3 linked regions of the Saccharomyces cerevisiae S288C genome follow. The protein of the gene in region 1 interacts with the protein of each later gene in a biochemical or structural test. Each region holds a gene or a part of one and is shown in the gene's direction. Other genes may lie near its edges.

Region 1 (7,582 bases):
CACTGCATTAGAAGCGGAGCATTTGTTGAAGAGGAAACCGGATGGCATTTTGCCCAATGGTTTGAACGTTGTTAAGTTTCAAGCAGTACATGAATTTCAAAATCTGCATGCCCTGAAAAAGGACAAAATTAATGATTTCGTCAGAGGCCATTTCCATGGTTGTTTTGATTTCGATCTAGACAACACAGTTTATTTCTTTATCGCTGGTAGATATGAATACAAAAACAAAGGTGCTGACATGTTCATTGAATCATTGGCTCGTCTCAATTACAGATTGAAGGTTTCTGGATCCAAGAAGACGGTGGTAGCGTTTTTGATCATGCCTGCCAAAACCAATTCCTTCACTGTGGAGGCACTGAAAAGCCAAGCCATTGTAAAATCTTTGGAAAATACTGTTAATGAGGTCACCGCATCCATTGGGAAGAGAATTTTCGAGCATACGATGAGATACCCTCATAATGGCCTAGAATCAGAGTTGCCCACTAATTTAGATGAGCTGTTGAAGAGTTCTGAAAAGGTTTTGCTGAAGAAAAGGGTATTGGCGCTGAGAAGACCTTACGGGGAATTGCCTCCGGTAGTCACACATAACATGTGCGATGATGCTAACGATCCAATTTTAAACCAAATTAGACATGTTAGATTATTCAATGATTCGAGTGATCGTGTAAAAGTGATTTTCCATCCTGAATTCTTAAACGCCAATAACCCTATCCTTGGTTTGGATTATGACGAGTTTGTTCGCGGCTGTCACTTGGGTGTTTTTCCATCCTATTACGAACCATGGGGGTACACGCCAGCAGAATGTACCGTCATGGGTGTCCCATCTATCACAACAAACGTTTCTGGGTTCGGTGCCTACATGGAAGACTTGATTGAAACAGACCAAGCGAAAGACTATGGTATTTATATTGTAGACCGTCGTTTCAAGAGCCCTGATGAATCTGTCGAGCAATTAGCAGACTACATGGAAGAGTTTGTAAACAAGACCAGAAGACAAAGAATCAACCAAAGAAACAGAACCGAAAGACTATCAGACTTGTTAGATTGGAAGAGAATGGGGTTGGAATACGTTAAGGCTAGACAGTTGGGTCTTCGTAGGGCCTATCCAGAGCAGTTCAAGCAACTGGTGGGTGAAACAATTAGTGACGCCAATATGAATACTCTTGCCGGTGGCAAGAAATTCAAGATTGCCAGGCCTTTGAGTGTACCCGGATCCCCCAAAGTAAGGTCCAATAGTACTGTTTACATGACTCCGGGCGATTTAGGTACCCTTCAAGATGCTAATAATGCAGATGACTATTTTAATTTGAGCACGAATGGAGCCATCGACAATGACGATGATGACAACGATACGTCTGCATACTACGAGGATAATTAAAACCATCTTAACTTCTGCTAACATATCTTACTCTTTTAGCTGAGCATCAAATTAATTTTAGTATTGCACGTTCTGTTATTCTTGTATAAGTACATAGAAATAATAGCAGTAGAAAAAATAGAAGTAATTTTACCTTTACAGTACATATGTGTTAGTATAAGGAACCTTTTACGTGGGATACTTTGCTTACGAAGAAAAGGCTGAAAAAAAAAAAAAAAGAAACTCCCCCCGCGTTTAGAATGGTGCAGCCGAGCTACCTACGCAGGGGATAAAAAGAACGAAAGCCACATCGACTACAAGCCAGAGTATAAATGGTTTCAATTCTCGTAGAGAACTCACAATTATATAATATTGGAAGACACCAGAAAAAATAACGAGTCAATTACTATGGACGACAAAGTTTCAGAAAAGGAGAGCTCCCCAAAACAAACAGAGGAGGATTCTGAAGGTAAAATGGCACATGTGCAGCCTGCTTCGTACGTGAATAAAAAAAAATATGTTTTTGGGAAGACATTAGGTGCTGGTACATTTGGTGTGGTGAGACAAGCCAAAAACACTGAAACAGGGGAGGACGTGGCCGTTAAAATCCTGATCAAGAAAGCACTAAAGGGAAACAAGGTTCAGCTAGAGGCTTTATACGACGAGTTAGACATTTTACAAAGACTGCATCATCCAAATATAGTGGCATTTAAGGATTGGTTTGAATCAAAAGACAAGTTCTACATTATCACGCAATTAGCCAAAGGGGGTGAATTGTTCGATAGGATTTTGAAGAAGGGTAAGTTCACTGAGGAAGATGCAGTGAGAATTTTGGTTGAAATATTGAGCGCAGTCAAATATATGCATTCTCAGAATATTGTTCATAGGGACTTGAAACCGGAAAATTTACTGTATATAGATAAAAGTGACGAATCTCCACTGGTAGTTGCTGATTTTGGTATCGCAAAGAGATTGAAAAGTGATGAGGAACTCCTCTATAAGCCGGCAGGCTCACTGGGTTACGTGGCTCCAGAGGTACTTACTCAGGACGGTCATGGTAAACCTTGCGACATTTGGTCGATAGGTGTCATTACGTATACTTTGCTTTGCGGTTATTCGGCGTTTAGAGCCGAAAGGGTTCAAGATTTCCTTGACGAATGCACAACTGGTGAGTATCCAGTGAAGTTTCATAGGCCTTATTGGGATTCCGTTTCCAATAAAGCAAAACAATTCATCTTGAAGGCTCTTAATTTGGATCCTTCAAAGAGACCGACCGCCGCAGAACTCTTGGAAGATCCATGGATTATTTGTACCGAATTGAAGACGCACAATTTATTGCCTGGGTTAAAGGAAGGATTGGATGCTCGTCAAAAGTTCCGTAATTCTGTTGAGAGAGTCAGATTAAACATGAAGATCCAGAAATTAAGAGATCTGTATCTTGAACAGACAGAGAGTGATTCAGATTTTGACGAAGGAAGTCAAGCAAACGGTTCAGTTCCTCCATTGAAAGCAACGGATACCAGTCAACTATCCAAGAAGCTATCAGAAGAAGAACAGTCTAAGTTGAAGTCCGAGTTAACCAGCAAAGCTTTTGCACAATTAGTTAACACAGTGCTTGCCGAAAAGGAAAAATTTTTAAATATTAACAGAGTCTGTAGTTCTGATAGCGATCTTCCTGGGAGTGATATAAAGTCTTTGGATGAGGCGAAGGAGAAACCAGAGGGGAAGGATACCAAAACAGAAGAATGATAACAGTATGCCGTTTTACCACACTGGCGAATAAATCTTCAATGACTTTGTAAGCTCGAATATGCGCAAGATTTGACTTTGATATTTTGCACTTTTTCGTCCTCACTTTCTACCTTTTTTTTTTATGCCTTAGTTGAAAAGATACGCGTATCTAATTATGTACTAATAGTCTTAATTTTACATTACTTAATTAATCGAAATGCAGCCTGTAAGGAGTTTCACAATCTTCACGTTCGTTGAAAGCTAGTTGTCTAAGTGCGCTGCCTTTTAACTCTACCATCATCAAAAGAAGAATCATTGTCGTTGTCATCATAAATATCAGCTTCGTCGTCTTCTTCATCATCGACATATTCCTCGCTATCATATTCCGTATTATAGTTTACAGTCTGTCGCTGTATCCTTCTCAACTGTCTCTTGCCTGGCTTCATGTCTGCAAATTGCACTTTCATTTGTTCAAACTGACGAAGAATGAAATAGTAATCAGATAAAAATTCCTTTAATATCTGTAACTTCTTTCTCGCAGTGTTATATTTTGCGTCTTTTGGTAGCGGGTTTGTATTTATGGAGGGATTATTATCAGTGGTAGATTTCTGCTCCAATATGTGCGCTTCATTATTCAGTGCTTCTTTTTCTTTTTCATTTCCCTCCTTTTTCTCATCTTGAGGTTTAACAATTTTATAGTCCAAGAACTCCAAGAACTCCAGCAGTGTTGCTGAATCGTGGCATAATTCATACCAATAAACCTTCCCCGATGTATTTCTGCCTCGTGCAACATCATGCGCCAACGATGGTGTGTCATGGTAAAACAATTTGAATTGGGCACTCATCGATTGTCCATCATTTTCAAACAGTGTAAAAGCGTTGTATTCATTATTTTTGAATTTCGATAGCAATGCTTGTAGATTTCTCAAATCAGTGAAGGTGCTCATTTCGAGTGAGTCCCCATAACTGTGTAATCTTGGCATATAAAAATCACCTATATGGGGAACTCTACCAAGGAAGAACTCTTGTAATCGCAATTTATAAAGTCTTTCCGAAAAAGGATTGGCTAATGGTTGATCAGGTAATTCGCCTTCAAACAATGGGACCCACTTGTCGTACAGTGAGAACAAAAGTTCATCCTTTTCGGATTTTACAGCGTTCTTCAATTCCGCTTTAATTTCCTTCAGTATTTCTAGCTTCCTTGATAAATCTGGTTTTTTACCCTCTTTTAGTTGTTTAACAAAATGTTTTTTCTTACTTCTGATTTCATATCTTGATTGAATTAGTGAGCAGAGTTTTTTAAACTGATTTATGGTATTATCTACCCCTTCAATTGTATACCTAGGCACTTGTTGTGTTTGGATGCCAAAAACGGGATCTTTTTTACCATGAGTTAATTTGTATATCTCGTCATGAATAGCAGATGAATGGGAAGCGCACCAGTCAGTTAACGCCCTCAATAAAACAACGCGATCCATTGGTTTGAGCGCCAAAATTCCATTCTTGTCCATTTCTCGATTATACAAAGGATTTGATTCCAATGGGAGTGGTTCATTAGCATTCCAGGTATATATATTTGGCGTTAAAATTTCTGGATGACTGGGATCCACCACTGGTGTTTGTTCATCTTGTTCAAAAAGAGCAGTTTTAGGTTTGGAGATATCTTGGTCACTGGGGAGTTGTTGACGCCATTCTCGTGGATACCCCCATTCGCGAGCTACAAGTCTTAACCGATAAAGAGGATTGGAAAATACTTTCTTGGAGGACGATTTTAGATTCTCCCAGGTTGTTAATGGACCTTTCTTCTTGGCACTTTTACCATCAAAATTTTCAGTAAATGTTAAATCTAACAAGGATAGGAACAGTAAATTCATTTTGTCTTGGCAATAGACGATATCCTTGATGGCCATAAAATCAGGATATAGCAATAAGGAGGTGTCTTCAGGACCCTTCACTATACCAGCTGCGCTTCCATTAGGATCGCCGGGATACAAATCTAAACCGACCTCAAAATCTTGGAATGATAAATTTTGTAGGTCAGAATGGAAAAAAGAACTAAACTTATTTATGAACGCCATCAGCTTAATGATATCTCCAGCATATGGCACAGGCTTCATGTTCGGATTTTTTAACCTAGAGATGACACTATACTGGTTCTTGAAATCAGAAGTAAGCAAGGGTATTACAGAAGTCCAATTGCTAGGGATCAAAGCGGGTTCTACTTGTTCATGGGCTGGTTTAGGTTTCGGCGCCACTTTTTTGTCATTAGTCTTCAGTGTAGGTTTGCCATCCTTAGCAATTGAGGTAGTCTTCTTTTTCTCTACTTTATCATTTGATTTAGAGTTCTGTGTGGAAGGTGCCTTTTTCTTAGGAGGAGCAGGTCTCTTCCTCTTGGGTTTATTCGCCCTTTCCTTTAACTCTTCCTCGTATTCATCATAAATGCTCGTTCTTGGCTTAGGAACACGTCTTGATCTCCTTAAATTATCAGAAGATTGTGAAACACTAACACTTTGATCGGTTTGTAAGGGCATAGCCATTGATACGCGATCATGATCATGGTCAGCAAGCTGTGCGGAAGAGCTGCCCTGGGCTTCTTGCTGCAAATTCTGGATAGAATTGGATGGAGAATCCATAAACAATAGGGGATTGCAAACTTTGCTTGAAGTACTTGGTAAGTGATAGTTTTGTTGGCCGAAACCAATGTGGAAGATATCACCATCTTAAGAAATTAAGTCCATTCATTAGTATAAACTCACGTAATTTCAATGAATTTGTTAAAGTTTCAGCAAATCGTGAAGCACGATATTTCACTTTTATGATCCGAGAGGGAATATTACTAGTACTTCCACGCATAAGGAAAGTCAATGTTAACAAATACCGCCATACCGCCATACCTGTCCTCTGTAGTCACTGCTAATGTTAATGTAAATAAATTACATCTAAAAGTTGTTTTCTCTTCAGTAATTTTAGAAACCGTTAAGAGGAAAAATGGGCACTTCCTTTCTTTGTTTCAGAAATTAAGCTCAAAAAGATGGGCTCGATAAAAGTAGCATACTATTTACTCTATCTTATTTTTATTTTCTATATACTAGTCTATCAGACTCAGACGTCAACGATGTGGAATACGGATGGAATCATTAAATAGTAGCAAGAAGTACTTTATTCTTATTTTTCAAATTGCGGCGCGCCAACAAAACGCGTACAAAAAAAGCAGATTGGATAGTACTTTATTCTTGTTATTTTGTCATTGGAAAGTATAAGCTGGTTGTGGATTACTCTTCACACGATGTGCCTGTTTTTTGTAGGCGGGCTTGTACTTTCTGGGGAGCATGCTGTGTATGTTGTAGGTCTGTGGCAATGTTTGTCGGGAGTGTTCGCTGTTACCATGAGTTGTCTGTGAGTAGTAGCGATTGTAATTGTGGTTGTATCCTACTGGTCTTCTTCGGGAATACCAAGGAATGAAAGAGTTATGAGGAACCTCACTTTGATCCTGGTAATTATTTGGTTGTTGTAGTTGATATTGGCGGGGCTCTGTGAGACAATGATTTTTTTTTGAATATATTTTAAAGCAATCGGCTGATTGGGTAGCCTCAACGCCAAATAACCAAGGAGGGTCGTAGTTATCTTGTGAATGGCTTGAGATTCCCTCATAATATAAAATATTTGCCTTTTTTTTTTCAGTAGGCATTTCCACATTTTCTTGCTTTGCAGGTAAGTCGGTTATATTGATTTCATCCAAAGATAAGGATTTTTGATTTTCAACATGCCTTCTAGAAAATATTTGTTTACCATTCAACTTTGGAGCGAAGAAACTCACCAAACCTGCTTGCTTCAATGGAGATTTGATTTCAGGCGGTGGTTCATCTTGATTTGTTACCGCCAGTTTATCTTGATTGGGATCTAAGGTCCTTGGTAGATCATTAAAAAGACTTGTGATGTCATACACAGATTGGTCTGTGCCCTTAGTTGTTTGTGGATAATTTTCGCCAAGGGAACTTGATGTTTGACTCGTTCCATATAGTTTGAGAATACTGTCTACGTTCTCTATACTAGCTTCTTTAGCTATGTTTTCTGTCTGACTGCGCAGACGTATCAAACCTAAAACTGAGAAAATGCACGCCAATAACGAGCAGAGGGAACAGGGAACAGTTAGCCAGCCACACCAAGTCGTATAAGGATGAAATTGTAACAGGATCACGGTGCATGCAAAGTAACAGGATCACGGTGCATGCAAAAATAGTTGATAAAAGTGTCAATATGTGTAATATAGCGTTGGAAGTAATAAGTGAGACATTAGTTCCTCCAGTCTGAAAAAGAAAAATAATAACCAAGGGAAGTGCAAAAGAAATGAAAGTCAAACATGTAGCAACCGGTATCGAAATCAAAAGTCCTCCTATTGTATGTCTTGCCTTAGGACTCAGCCACCAACGTTCAAGAGAAGGGCCAGGTAATATTTCTTTCGAGGTGTTATATATTAAACGTACTCGAGAGCAG
Region 2 (6,141 bases), on another chromosome or scaffold:
TGAATTGTTGTAAAAGGTGTTTAATAGCATACTTCCAAAGTCTTCACGAGTCTGAGCGATATTTTGCATTTTAGATAGTTTGTTAACGTCACCTGTAACTAAATACAGGAAGGAAAGTTTGTCAAAAGAATGTTGAGTTTGATAAATCATTTCAGCTAAGCTGGCATTACCTTGTGCCAAGGCTTCTTGGATTAATCTTTCCCAAGTACTAGAATCATTCAGTTTTTTGGCTTCATCTAAGGCAACATCCAAATTACCGTATTCCAAAGCTAAATCAAAACGGATATGTGGGTCTTGAACGAATTGTAAAGCAATTTCTGGGTAACCTGACTTCTGCAGATAGGAAATGATATTCTGGCCAACCAAATTAGAATCTTTTATCAGACGTAAAACTTCTGGGAAATTTTTGTTAACCAGGGCCTTTTTGAAGCGATATTCTGTAGGATCAATGGTTAAAATTTCAATCTCACCTTCACGGTTCAAGCAGTACACTAATTTTCCCTGAACTTTTGTGATATATAAAGTTTTCTCCAAAGTTTTAATAATACCTCTATCCCCGTTCAATAGTGAGTACCTTATATGATTTAAAGTTGAATAAATTAATACACCAGTTTCATCCCAAGCGGCACTTTTGATTCTAATCGTTTCATGCATAGAATTAATCAATTCTAGCTTTTTGGTAGCCAAAGTTATGGTGTGCTTACTCATCAATGCAACATATTGACCATCTAAGGACCACGAAACGTACTTGACGTTTTTAACAGCCAATTGGGATACTTTTTTGCCCTGTTGGACATCATAAAGAATAACTTCTCTGGGGTGTATGACCAAAACAGATCCAGGACCTGCAGCTACAATAGTTCTTACTGTTTCCTCTACTTTGATATTTCTTGTAACTTTGTTTTCGAGAGAGCGAACTTCAACAGATTCAGTGTTCTTGTTGTAAACAACAAATCTATTACGACCAACAAAAGTAGCAAAATTACCTGTATCTTGGGTGACACTTGTTGGCTCCACAGCTCCAACTGGTTGTTTTGGTAAAATAACGAGAGCAAATTTGCCATTAGCTTCATTAACCAAAACTGAATGTTGGGAGGGATTGTACGATATACTTCTGAATGCATCCCAAGGTTGACCAATACCCTTTAAGGACGCATAAGGTAATGAAGCGACTCTTTTCTGGAAATTGAAACTTTGGATTTGCTTTTCCGCATTGACAAAAAACAACTGGTTTTGATGGATAAAGCTGCATGGTCTTTCGCGATCGAGCTTGAAAACCATAATACCAGAATCGTGAGCTGCACCAAATAGATTGATATGAGGATGTGCTGCAATCAACCAAAATCTATCGTTTTCTCTTTTGAATTGCTTTACTGGAGTTCTCTTGTCAAGATCCCAAACCCTTAGCGTTTTGTCTTCACCGACAGAAATGATCAAGTTTTGATGTGGGTGAAAGATAACACTATCAACATTGTTAGTGTGACCTCTGCAAGTATCAACTTCCCAAGCTTTCGTAGCACTCATTCTCCATAATTTAACTTGACGGTCGTCACTGCCGGAGACAATCAATGGTAAAGTTGGATGGAAAGAGGCCCAGTTGACACCTCTTGTGTGACCCTCTAGAATAAACTTGACAACACAGTCACCAAGAGAGCCATCCAATAGATTTTGTTGTGCACTCATTTGCTCCTCAAATGAACTAGTACCAGGAGCGGAGTGTCTTTTCCTTAAACCGGAAATATCCCAAATTCTGATGGTTTCATCCAGAGAAGCGGAAACGATCAGGTCATCGGTTGGATGAAATTGAGCACACATGACAAAATGATTGTGGCCGGTCAAACATGCAATTTCCTTACGGTTTTGCCAGTTCCAGATTCTTATGGTCTGGTCATCAGAAGCAGATATGATCCAAGGCAGCTCACGGTGGAAAAACACGGTACGGACATAATCCAAATGCCCAGTTAAGGTGTATAGACATTTGTTAGTATCTAAGGACCAAACTTTAATGGTATAGTCGTCACCTGCCGAAACAAAAATCGGTTGGGTTGGATGGAAATCTAGCCCACGAACAGGGCCCTCGTGGTCTTCAAATCTGTGAAGTAGTGTTCCCATCCTGTAATCCCATAATTGAATAGTAGAGGAAAACAAAGCCACCAAAACCCAAGGTCTGGAGGGGTGGAAGGCAATGCCCTTGGCCCTAGTGGACTTTGATTCAAATTTAGTTAACATCTTCATCTTGATCCAGTAATGAAATGAACAAAGACACTACAGAAGAAAAAAAGTATACTGATTTCAGGTTAAATAAACCGCGAATTTGTAAACAGGTATGATAATGTTTTTATTCAAAAGTGTAAAGGGAAGATAAAATAAAAAGAAAAAACTTTATATCTTAAGCAAAGAAGGGGGTAAGTAACAAATGTTTGGAAAATCCTGCTGGTTTCGCCAATTCTATGATTTACCTAATTGCAATGCCTCTTCAAACAAGTTTGTGGTCCCTGTATGCTACTGAATCGAGGCTCAATCGTCACAGTCTCGAAGACGGATCTGTTATTTATTCAAGTTGGCAAATTGTCGATTTCGTTTCGTGTTGTCGAAATTTTCGGTCGCTCTGTACGTCGTATAAATGCTGACAATAAGAATAATAGTTAAGAGTACATACTAAATTATGTGTTACAATATACTAGATGAAGGCTCGTCAACGAGGCAAGCAATGGTTGGAACTACTCGTCCACAAGAGTGGCAGTTTTTTCGTCGAACTTCAATAGGCCTTTCCGCTCCTTTAGTTTGGCCTGTACTAGCACAAGTAGGTTGTATAAGATAGAAAGAGTGGGTGTAGCGACGCCGTTTCTTTTCGCGATTCTTATGGGGTTGCCTAGGATGACTTCTAGCTCCATCAATTGGCCCTTCTCGCAGTCCACGCACATGGATGGCTTGAACACCTTTTTCCTGGTAATCTCTGTAAACATCGTTATGAACTCCTCTTCGATAATGATGCCTTCACTCGCCGCAATGGCGATGATCTCCCTCATGGCAGGGTGGAACACTTCAATTTCTGTGCTCTTCTTGTTAACCCCAAACTCCAGGCAACGCGGAACGTCTAGCCCCACAAGTGCCGTGGATGTGTTGATAGCTGCATTGTAGAGCAACTTCTTCCACCGAGAGTAACGGACCCTAGGGTCAAATTCGACAAAGTTTTGCCCCTCGTTGCTGTACATCCTGACGAAGTCGTTGGCAGCCTGGATAGCAGCAGCGTCCTGTGGATCAAAAGCTCCACACGATAAGTGGTCCTGGCCCACTTGACTGATATGGCCTGACCCGATCTTAGTGGATCCGATTAACTGGATGCCAGAAAGCACCGTGTAACGATACTGCTCTCTGGGAAATTCCGCCCATATCTCCTTCTCAATATCGATTCCGTTCTGTACCAGTAAAATGTGTGTCGTCAATTGCGGCCCATGTAGCTCTTTATTCTTCTCAAGCACAGGTCTGATGATGTTGGACACCCTTGAATTAACGGGCCCATCTATGATGTTCTTGGTAGTCACTACAATATAGTTGTATCCTTGGTTGTCTGCGGCAGAAGCAGCGTCCTCGACGCTGCTGTAAATATGGTGGGGTCTCCAACCTTCTAACCGGCCATAGTCACATGATTCGATTGTGTAGCCATGCTTCAATACCCTATCGTAGTCAGATCTGACTACCAAGGAAACGTCGCTCTCCTTCTTAAGCCACAACGAAAGCGCAGTAATGACCCCAACGCCACCTGCCCCGATAACTAGTATTCTAGACATTTTCGACATTAGCTTATGCCAACTTGTATCCTGGCACCGGGACTGTAGTTTATGAGGTATATCAATATGTCCTAATTAAGGCTATATAATTTGGTATTACTATCACTTGCCACGGGGAAACTGAAATTTTTTTCGTTTCGCCACCAAGAAAGGCTAATTGAATACAGTTCAAGAGGTTGATATAGCTAAGTGGGCATGAAGGTTATGAATTGTAATTGGAGGTGCGGCAAGTGTGCAAGACGGGTAAAGGAGAGTATAGAACGATGTCTGCTAAAGTTCCATCTAACGCCACGTTTAAGAACAAGGAAAAACCTCAAGAGGTTCGCAAAGCCAACATCATCGCTGCACGTTCTGTTGCAGATGCCATCCGTACTTCATTGGGTCCCAAGGGTATGGACAAGATGATTAAGACATCTCGTGGAGAAATCATCATCTCTAATGATGGCCACACCATTCTAAAACAGATGGCCATTCTGCATCCGGTGGCCAGAATGCTAGTAGAGGTTTCTGCCGCGCAGGACTCGGAAGCCGGTGATGGTACCACTTCTGTGGTGATCTTGACCGGAGCTCTATTGGGTGCTGCTGAGAGGCTGTTAAACAAGGGCATCCATCCAACCATCATTGCGGACTCCTTTCAAAGTGCTGCGAAGAGATCTGTCGATATTCTTTTAGAAATGTGCCATAAGGTTTCGTTGAGCGATAGAGAACAGCTGGTTCGTGCTGCATCCACTTCTTTGAGTTCCAAGATTGTGTCTCAATACTCTTCGTTTTTGGCGCCCTTGGCAGTGGACTCCGTATTGAAGATATCTGATGAAAACTCTAAGAATGTTGACCTGAACGATATCAGACTGGTCAAAAAAGTTGGTGGTACCATTGATGACACAGAAATGATAGATGGTGTGGTCTTGACACAAACGGCAATCAAATCTGCTGGTGGTCCGACAAGAAAGGAAAAAGCAAAGATTGGGTTAATTCAATTCCAAATATCTCCTCCAAAGCCCGACACAGAAAATAATATCATCGTTAATGACTATAGACAAATGGATAAGATCCTTAAAGAAGAAAGAGCGTATTTGCTAAATATCTGTAAAAAAATTAAAAAGGCCAAGTGTAACGTGCTGTTGATTCAGAAATCCATCTTGAGAGATGCGGTAAATGATTTGGCTCTTCATTTCTTGTCAAAATTGAACATAATGGTGGTAAAGGATATCGAGAGAGAAGAAATCGAGTTTCTGTCGAAGGGCTTGGGTTGTAAGCCAATTGCTGATATAGAATTGTTCACCGAAGATAGATTGGGTTCCGCTGATTTAGTTGAGGAGATCGATAGCGATGGTTCCAAGATAGTTAGAGTAACTGGTATAAGAAACAATAATGCAAGACCAACCGTCTCTGTTGTTATTCGTGGTGCAAACAACATGATCATTGATGAAACAGAGCGTTCCCTCCATGATGCACTATGTGTTATTCGTTGTCTAGTGAAAGAGAGAGGTTTAATCGCTGGTGGTGGTGCTCCAGAAATTGAAATATCCCGTAGGTTGAGTAAGGAAGCAAGGTCTATGGAAGGTGTACAGGCTTTTATTTGGCAAGAATTTGCCTCTGCTTTGGAAGTTATTCCAACGACTTTGGCTGAAAACGCAGGTTTGAATAGTATCAAAGTTGTCACAGAATTGCGCTCTAAGCATGAAAATGGTGAATTGAATGACGGTATCTCTGTTAGACGATCTGGTACTACGAACACCTATGAAGAACACATCTTACAACCCGTACTTGTTAGTACAAGTGCAATTACCTTAGCGTCTGAATGTGTTAAATCCATCTTACGTATTGATGATATTGCATTCAGCCGTTAACATGGGTTTCCCAGTATCCATATGTTTATGCATATATACATATATATGTTGATTTAGTGTATTTTCCACTACATAAAAACTAAAAAACATTCAAAATGAAAAGTCAGGACCCTTTTCAAAAAGGATCGCAATTATACTATTTTAAAAGTTTAAAAGCGTTTCTCTTTAATGCGTAGGATACTCCGCTCATTATTGTGGTCGTGGCGGTTACATACCCTAAATAGCTAAAGGCCTTTTGAAAGTCCTGTTTTCTATCTTCGAAATCCTCCTCGGTTTTTTCACAGCCCTCTTCTTTCTCATATAAAAGTAATAATACTCCAGATCCAAGATATACCATTTGGAAAAACGTGTTCCATTTTGATAGTTGGGAAGGTCTGACCTCAGCGCTGGGATAGCGAACAATATCCCAATAGGAATTCCATGCCACACGACCAGGATATTTCAACTTTAAAGTGCTATATCGTATAAACAAAGCACTTATGGCTAGTAGCACATCTCTA
Region 3 (5,175 bases), on another chromosome or scaffold:
ACCTAACAAGAGGGTTAAGAGAAGCCCTCCTGTCGTTTCAAGTGACGTTATGTTGAATAATAATAACACTCTATCGAATAGAGCTACACTTTTAACTACGCTACCAATGAAGCCTCAATCGGCCAATAAAGATGTTAATCGCAGAGTGATCATTAGATTTAATGATCGCGAGCAAGCCTTTACTTTCCACCAGTTGAGCAATGGACCACCCACGGTGTCTGAAGTTTTGGAAAACTGTAAAAATTTATTTAATATTATCAACAAGAACAAGAATTTTGGTATTTTCCATAACGATAACCTCTTGAACGATGAAAGTTTGGCAAAGTTATTTGATTCCTTTTCCACGAGCGAGATTCATCTCGTAATTAAGGACATTTCCACCATTCCACTACAAGATGCAAAAATACCAGTGCCCATTACGTTGCCCAAAATGTCATGCATAGGTGAAAACCCCTCTATGCCTTCTATTCCATTGGTACCACAAGAAAAAGATGATCCAAAAAAATCAAGCTTAACTGCCTTTGATAACATCCTTAATAGGATCTCTAAATCGCCAATGAATGAAGAAAATAGCAACACTACTTTAAACACTGGCACCTCCACCTCCAACACAAATAATAATGACCACAACGAGTCTGTGCCAGCGCCATACGTTACAAAGAACAAAAATTCTTTTCAAAATGGCAATTTACCACAGCCGGTTTTCCAGCCTTTACTTTGATAAAAATACAAAACAAAATTGTCTACATACATAACTGCCTAATACACATTCTACACAATATTTTTTTCTTTTTCAATTCGCGTACATATTTATGTAAGATAAAATAATAATATCCTCTTAATCCATGCTTAGAACTGCTGCCGTTGATTTTCAAATTCATCCTCGTCAAATGGTGGCAGTTCCATTACATGAATTTTGTACCCCAGTGAATATTCCTGGTCTTGTAAGGATTCGAACGTCAAATCAGACAGCTCTTTATCGTGGAACCCAACAATGGCATTATACACAATTGTGCTAACTTTAAAGTATTTCGCCTTGCTATCACCTTCGGAGTCAGAGACGTTTCCACTTTGTGCAAAAGTAGTTGGCAAATTTCTATTAAACTCCTCTAATTCATCTTCCGGTAATTCAAACCTCAGTAGAGTTGCTTCTTCATGATCTTCATAAACCCCTACATAGAATTCCCTTGTATTATTGATAGATGTTCGAGGTCCGCCATTTGTGTATGTGCTATTATTTGCACTCCCGTTGGTGTTCTCATTTTCTGATATCTTTAGAGCGTCCATAGATTCATTGAGTAAAGATGCTTCGTTTTGTTGCTGTAGAAACTGTCTTTCCTGTAGTCTTAATAGCTTGGGGCATTTCAGTTTTATAAAATCTTTTAGAACTGTCCATCTTAGCCTTCCAAATTTTTCCAATTGTCCTTTCTCTTTAATTTCAATAACTGTGAACTTCTCTTGGTTCATTAACTCATTGAAATCAGACTCTGATAATTTCTCCAAGAATTCTATAGGTATATAGGGTGGGAAATTTATGATCTTCAGCTGCCACATACCTCTATTCGTCATTTGTTTTCTAAAGCTTTTCTCGTTAAAGATATGCTTTAATCTTTTGTGATTTATTTGAGTTTGTGAAGGTGTAATTGTTCCACCATTCTTTGCTTGGAGGGCACGGTCATCACCATTCGTACTTGTAGTGGGAATATTACCATTATTATTGGAATTTGAGGCCATGTTCAAGTTGTAAAGGGCAGATATTTCGTTATAAGAGGGATTTATCTTATTGTTCCTTAAGGAGAGGTGATGCTGCTGAGAAAGACGAGGGCCTGTGCCAGTATCTGGATTCCTGGGGCTATTATGCATGTATTTTTGAAACTGGCTTTGGTTCTGGTGATAGAAATGCCGACGACGGGGATAGTGTGTAGGGGAAGCAAGTGGACCACCAGCAGTAGCAGCAGCTGTTGGTGAAGGTAGAGTAGTTTGATAGGGCATCTGCATATTAGGTACCGTTCCCGGAGGAGCACCCAACATAGGTAGCATCGAAGTCGAAAATGGACCATGAGGCGGGGGAGCAAGAGGTGGCACACCAACAGGTACGGGAACAGGCGTGGGCAATGGCGTTATGTTCTCATTCTTTCGAAGGCTCACTTCAGGAGAAAAACTGAAAAATTGAGAAGGTGGGGTAGAAGCGGATGGTGGCTGCGGTGTCACAGATGAAACATGGCTTGCATATCGAGGAGAAATAGATCTTTTAGTTTCATCGGGAGCACTCCGGACGTCATTGTTGCTATCACTGATTTCTGGATATCGCAGTGAAGGAGAATCATTAGTGTACGGCAACAGGTAAACGAACAGATCATGATAATCCCATTGGTAGGTGTTCAAAGTAAGTAGTAAGTTTTCCAGGGACTCGTTATCTATCGAGTTCTTCAGAATGACAATGCAACTCTGAAAAGTAATAAAAGGAGGAACCATGGAAGTCATTGGAGGCAGCATTTTCACCTGTAAAATATTGGTATGGTATATGATTCCGCCTATCAAATATTTTACCTGGGCCCAAGTCTTGCCCGGAGGGAGATTATCAATCCTTATGGGAATACCATTTGACTGCGAGTACGTCTTTTTCCTAGGAGCAGCTTTTGTGCTTGCTGTTGAGCTTTCGGTCGCAGAACGGGCAACAAAGGCACTGGCTGAAGCAGCCGACTTGGCACTATAGTGTGGTTCTAGAGTCATTATAAAGCAAGCGTATTGTAAGGAGAGACAGCAAACTCTCGTGTATCAGCCAACTGAACTGGAGGCCAAGACCAATCTAAAAAAAAAAAAAAATGAAAGAAACAAGTGTGGGAGGAAGTCTTGTTAACTTAACAGTTAAGCAAGCGTAAAAACCTTTAGGAAAGCGCACGAAAGAAGGCCAACATTACGACTATGGAATAATACAATGCACACAAACAAAAGGTAACATTTGAAAAATGGAGTAGAGAATATATTCCATTCCCCTAATTTTTTGCGGGTCTTCCAGGGCTGCGAACCCATCGCTCAAAACAAGCGCAGTGTCAATTAAGACATCATTGAACTAAAACGGAAAATTTGCTTGCGCCACACACCCTGGTCAATCGTACCAAGGGATATCACTCTGTACGGGTGGGAGGAAGGCGCGGCAATTAGAATGTGTGGGTGCGGAAGCTCGCCGCTCCCATCAAGAGAGTGGAAGACGTATGGTCTGGGTGCGAAGTACCACCACGTTTCTTTTTCATCTCTTAAGTGGGATTCTTACGAAACACGTCACAGGGTCAAAAGAAAGAGAACAAAAGCAATATTGTAATTGTCTCAGTCCACGGCAATGACATGGCATGGCCCCGAAGGCTTTTTTTGTCTGTCTTCCTTGGGTCTTACCCCGCCACGCGTTAATAGTGAGACAAGCAGGAAATCCGTATCATTTTCTCGCATACACGAACCCGCGTGCGCCTGGTAAATTGCAGGATTCTCATTGTCCGGTTTTCTTTATGGGAATAATCATCATCACCATTATCACTGTTACTCTTGCGATCATCATCATTAACATAATTTTTTTAACGCTGTTTGATGATGGTATGTGCTTTTATTGTTCCTTACTCACCTTTTCCTTTGTGTCTTTTAATTTTGACCATTTTGACCATTTTGACCTTTGATGATGTGTGAGTTCCTCTTTTCTTTTTTTCTTTTCTTTTTTCCTTTTTTTTTCTTTTCTTACTCTGTTAATCACTTTCTTTCCTTTTTGTTCATATTGTCGTCTTGTTCATTTTCGTTCAATTGATAATGTATATAAATCTTTCGTAAGTATCTCTTGATTGCCATTTTTTTCTTTCCAAGTTTCCTTGTTATGAAACGTTTCAATGTTTTAAAATATATCAGAACAACAAAAGCAAATATACAAACCATCGCAATGCCTTTGACCACAAAACCTTTATCTTTGAAAATCAACGCCGCTCTATTCGATGTTGACGGTACCATCATCATCTCTCAACCAGCCATTGCTGCTTTCTGGAGAGATTTCGGTAAAGACAAGCCTTACTTCGATGCCGAACACGTTATTCACATCTCTCACGGTTGGAGAACTTACGATGCCATTGCCAAGTTCGCTCCAGACTTTGCTGATGAAGAATACGTTAACAAGCTAGAAGGTGAAATCCCAGAAAAGTACGGTGAACACTCCATCGAAGTTCCAGGTGCTGTCAAGTTGTGTAATGCTTTGAACGCCTTGCCAAAGGAAAAATGGGCTGTCGCCACCTCTGGTACCCGTGACATGGCCAAGAAATGGTTCGACATTTTGAAGATCAAGAGACCAGAATACTTCATCACCGCCAATGATGTCAAGCAAGGTAAGCCTCACCCAGAACCATACTTAAAGGGTAGAAACGGTTTGGGTTTCCCAATTAATGAACAAGACCCATCCAAATCTAAGGTTGTTGTCTTTGAAGACGCACCAGCTGGTATTGCTGCTGGTAAGGCTGCTGGCTGTAAAATCGTTGGTATTGCTACCACTTTCGATTTGGACTTCTTGAAGGAAAAGGGTTGTGACATCATTGTCAAGAACCACGAATCTATCAGAGTCGGTGAATACAACGCTGAAACCGATGAAGTCGAATTGATCTTTGATGACTACTTATACGCTAAGGATGACTTGTTGAAATGGTAATTTTCTTTTATTTTTTTGATAAAACTACTACGCTAAAAATAAAATAAAAATGTATGATTTCCCTCCATTTCCGACCAATTGTATAATTTTATATCTGCATGACTTAATAATATAATATAATACTTATAAAATACGAATAGAAAAATTTAAACCGATGTAATGCATCCTTTTCTTTGTCGTCTTCGGATGATCTGCCGTGACAGGTGGTTCGCGCAAATCAAGCTGGTTTAGAGAATTTAACACAGAAATAAAAAAGGAAGATTCAATCTTCGTTTTTGTTTTATATCTTACTATAAAAGTGTTTTTTTTTAGTACGACGAGAAGTTAGAGTAATTATAAAAGGAATGCTTATTTAAATTTATTTCTTAGACTTCTTTTCAGACTTCTTAGCAGCCTCAGTTTGTTCCTTAACGACCTTCTTAACAATCTTTTGTTCTTCAATCAAGAAAGCTCTGACGATTCTTTCCTTGACACAGTTGGCACATCTGGAACCACCGTAA

What was found.
Region 2: the proteins of CMK1 (region 1) and CCT4 form a complex in vitro, tested with the Saccharomyces cerevisiae proteins (2 studies listed by BioGRID, with this or other methods).
Region 3: the proteins of CMK1 (region 1) and GPP1 form a complex in vitro, tested with the Saccharomyces cerevisiae proteins (2 studies listed by BioGRID, with this or other methods).

Annotation. Positions count from the first base shown.
Region 1 is NC_001138.5:168,061-175,642, reverse strand, and holds CMK1 (calmodulin-dependent protein kinase CMK1), read left to right. Parts: upstream 1-1,765; coding exon 1,766-3,106; downstream 3,107-7,582. Other genes in the region: glycogen (starch) synthase GSY1, read left to right, coding at 1-1,378; IOC3 (Ioc3p), read right to left, coding at 3,358-5,721; YFR012W-A (uncharacterized protein), read right to left, coding at 6,333-6,419; DCV1 (Dcv1p), read right to left, coding at 7,147-7,582.
Region 2 is NC_001136.10:195,942-202,082, forward strand, and holds CCT4 (chaperonin-containing T-complex subunit CCT4), read left to right. Parts: upstream 1-4,054; coding exon 4,055-5,641; downstream 5,642-6,141. Other genes in the region: COP1 (coatomer subunit alpha), read right to left, coding at 1-2,235; YDL144C (uncharacterized protein), read right to left, coding at 2,721-3,791; CRD1 (cardiolipin synthase), read right to left, coding at 5,778-6,141. UniProt on the Saccharomyces cerevisiae protein: Molecular chaperone; assists the folding of proteins upon ATP hydrolysis. Known to play a role, in vitro, in the folding of actin and tubulin. In yeast may play a role in mitotic spindle formation.
Region 3 is NC_001141.2:251,193-256,367, forward strand, and holds GPP1 (glycerol-1-phosphatase GPP1), read left to right. Parts: upstream 1-3,922; coding exon 3,923-4,675; downstream 4,676-5,175. Other genes in the region: VHR1 (Vhr1p), read left to right, coding at 1-721; YIL055C (uncharacterized protein), read right to left, coding at 850-2,733; YIL054W (uncharacterized protein), read left to right, coding at 3,351-3,668; 60S ribosomal protein eL34 RPL34B, read right to left, coding at 5,034-5,175. UniProt on the Saccharomyces cerevisiae protein: Major isoform of glycerol-1-phosphate phosphohydrolase involved in glycerol biosynthesis. Plays a role in osmoadaptation and required for adaptation to anaerobic conditions.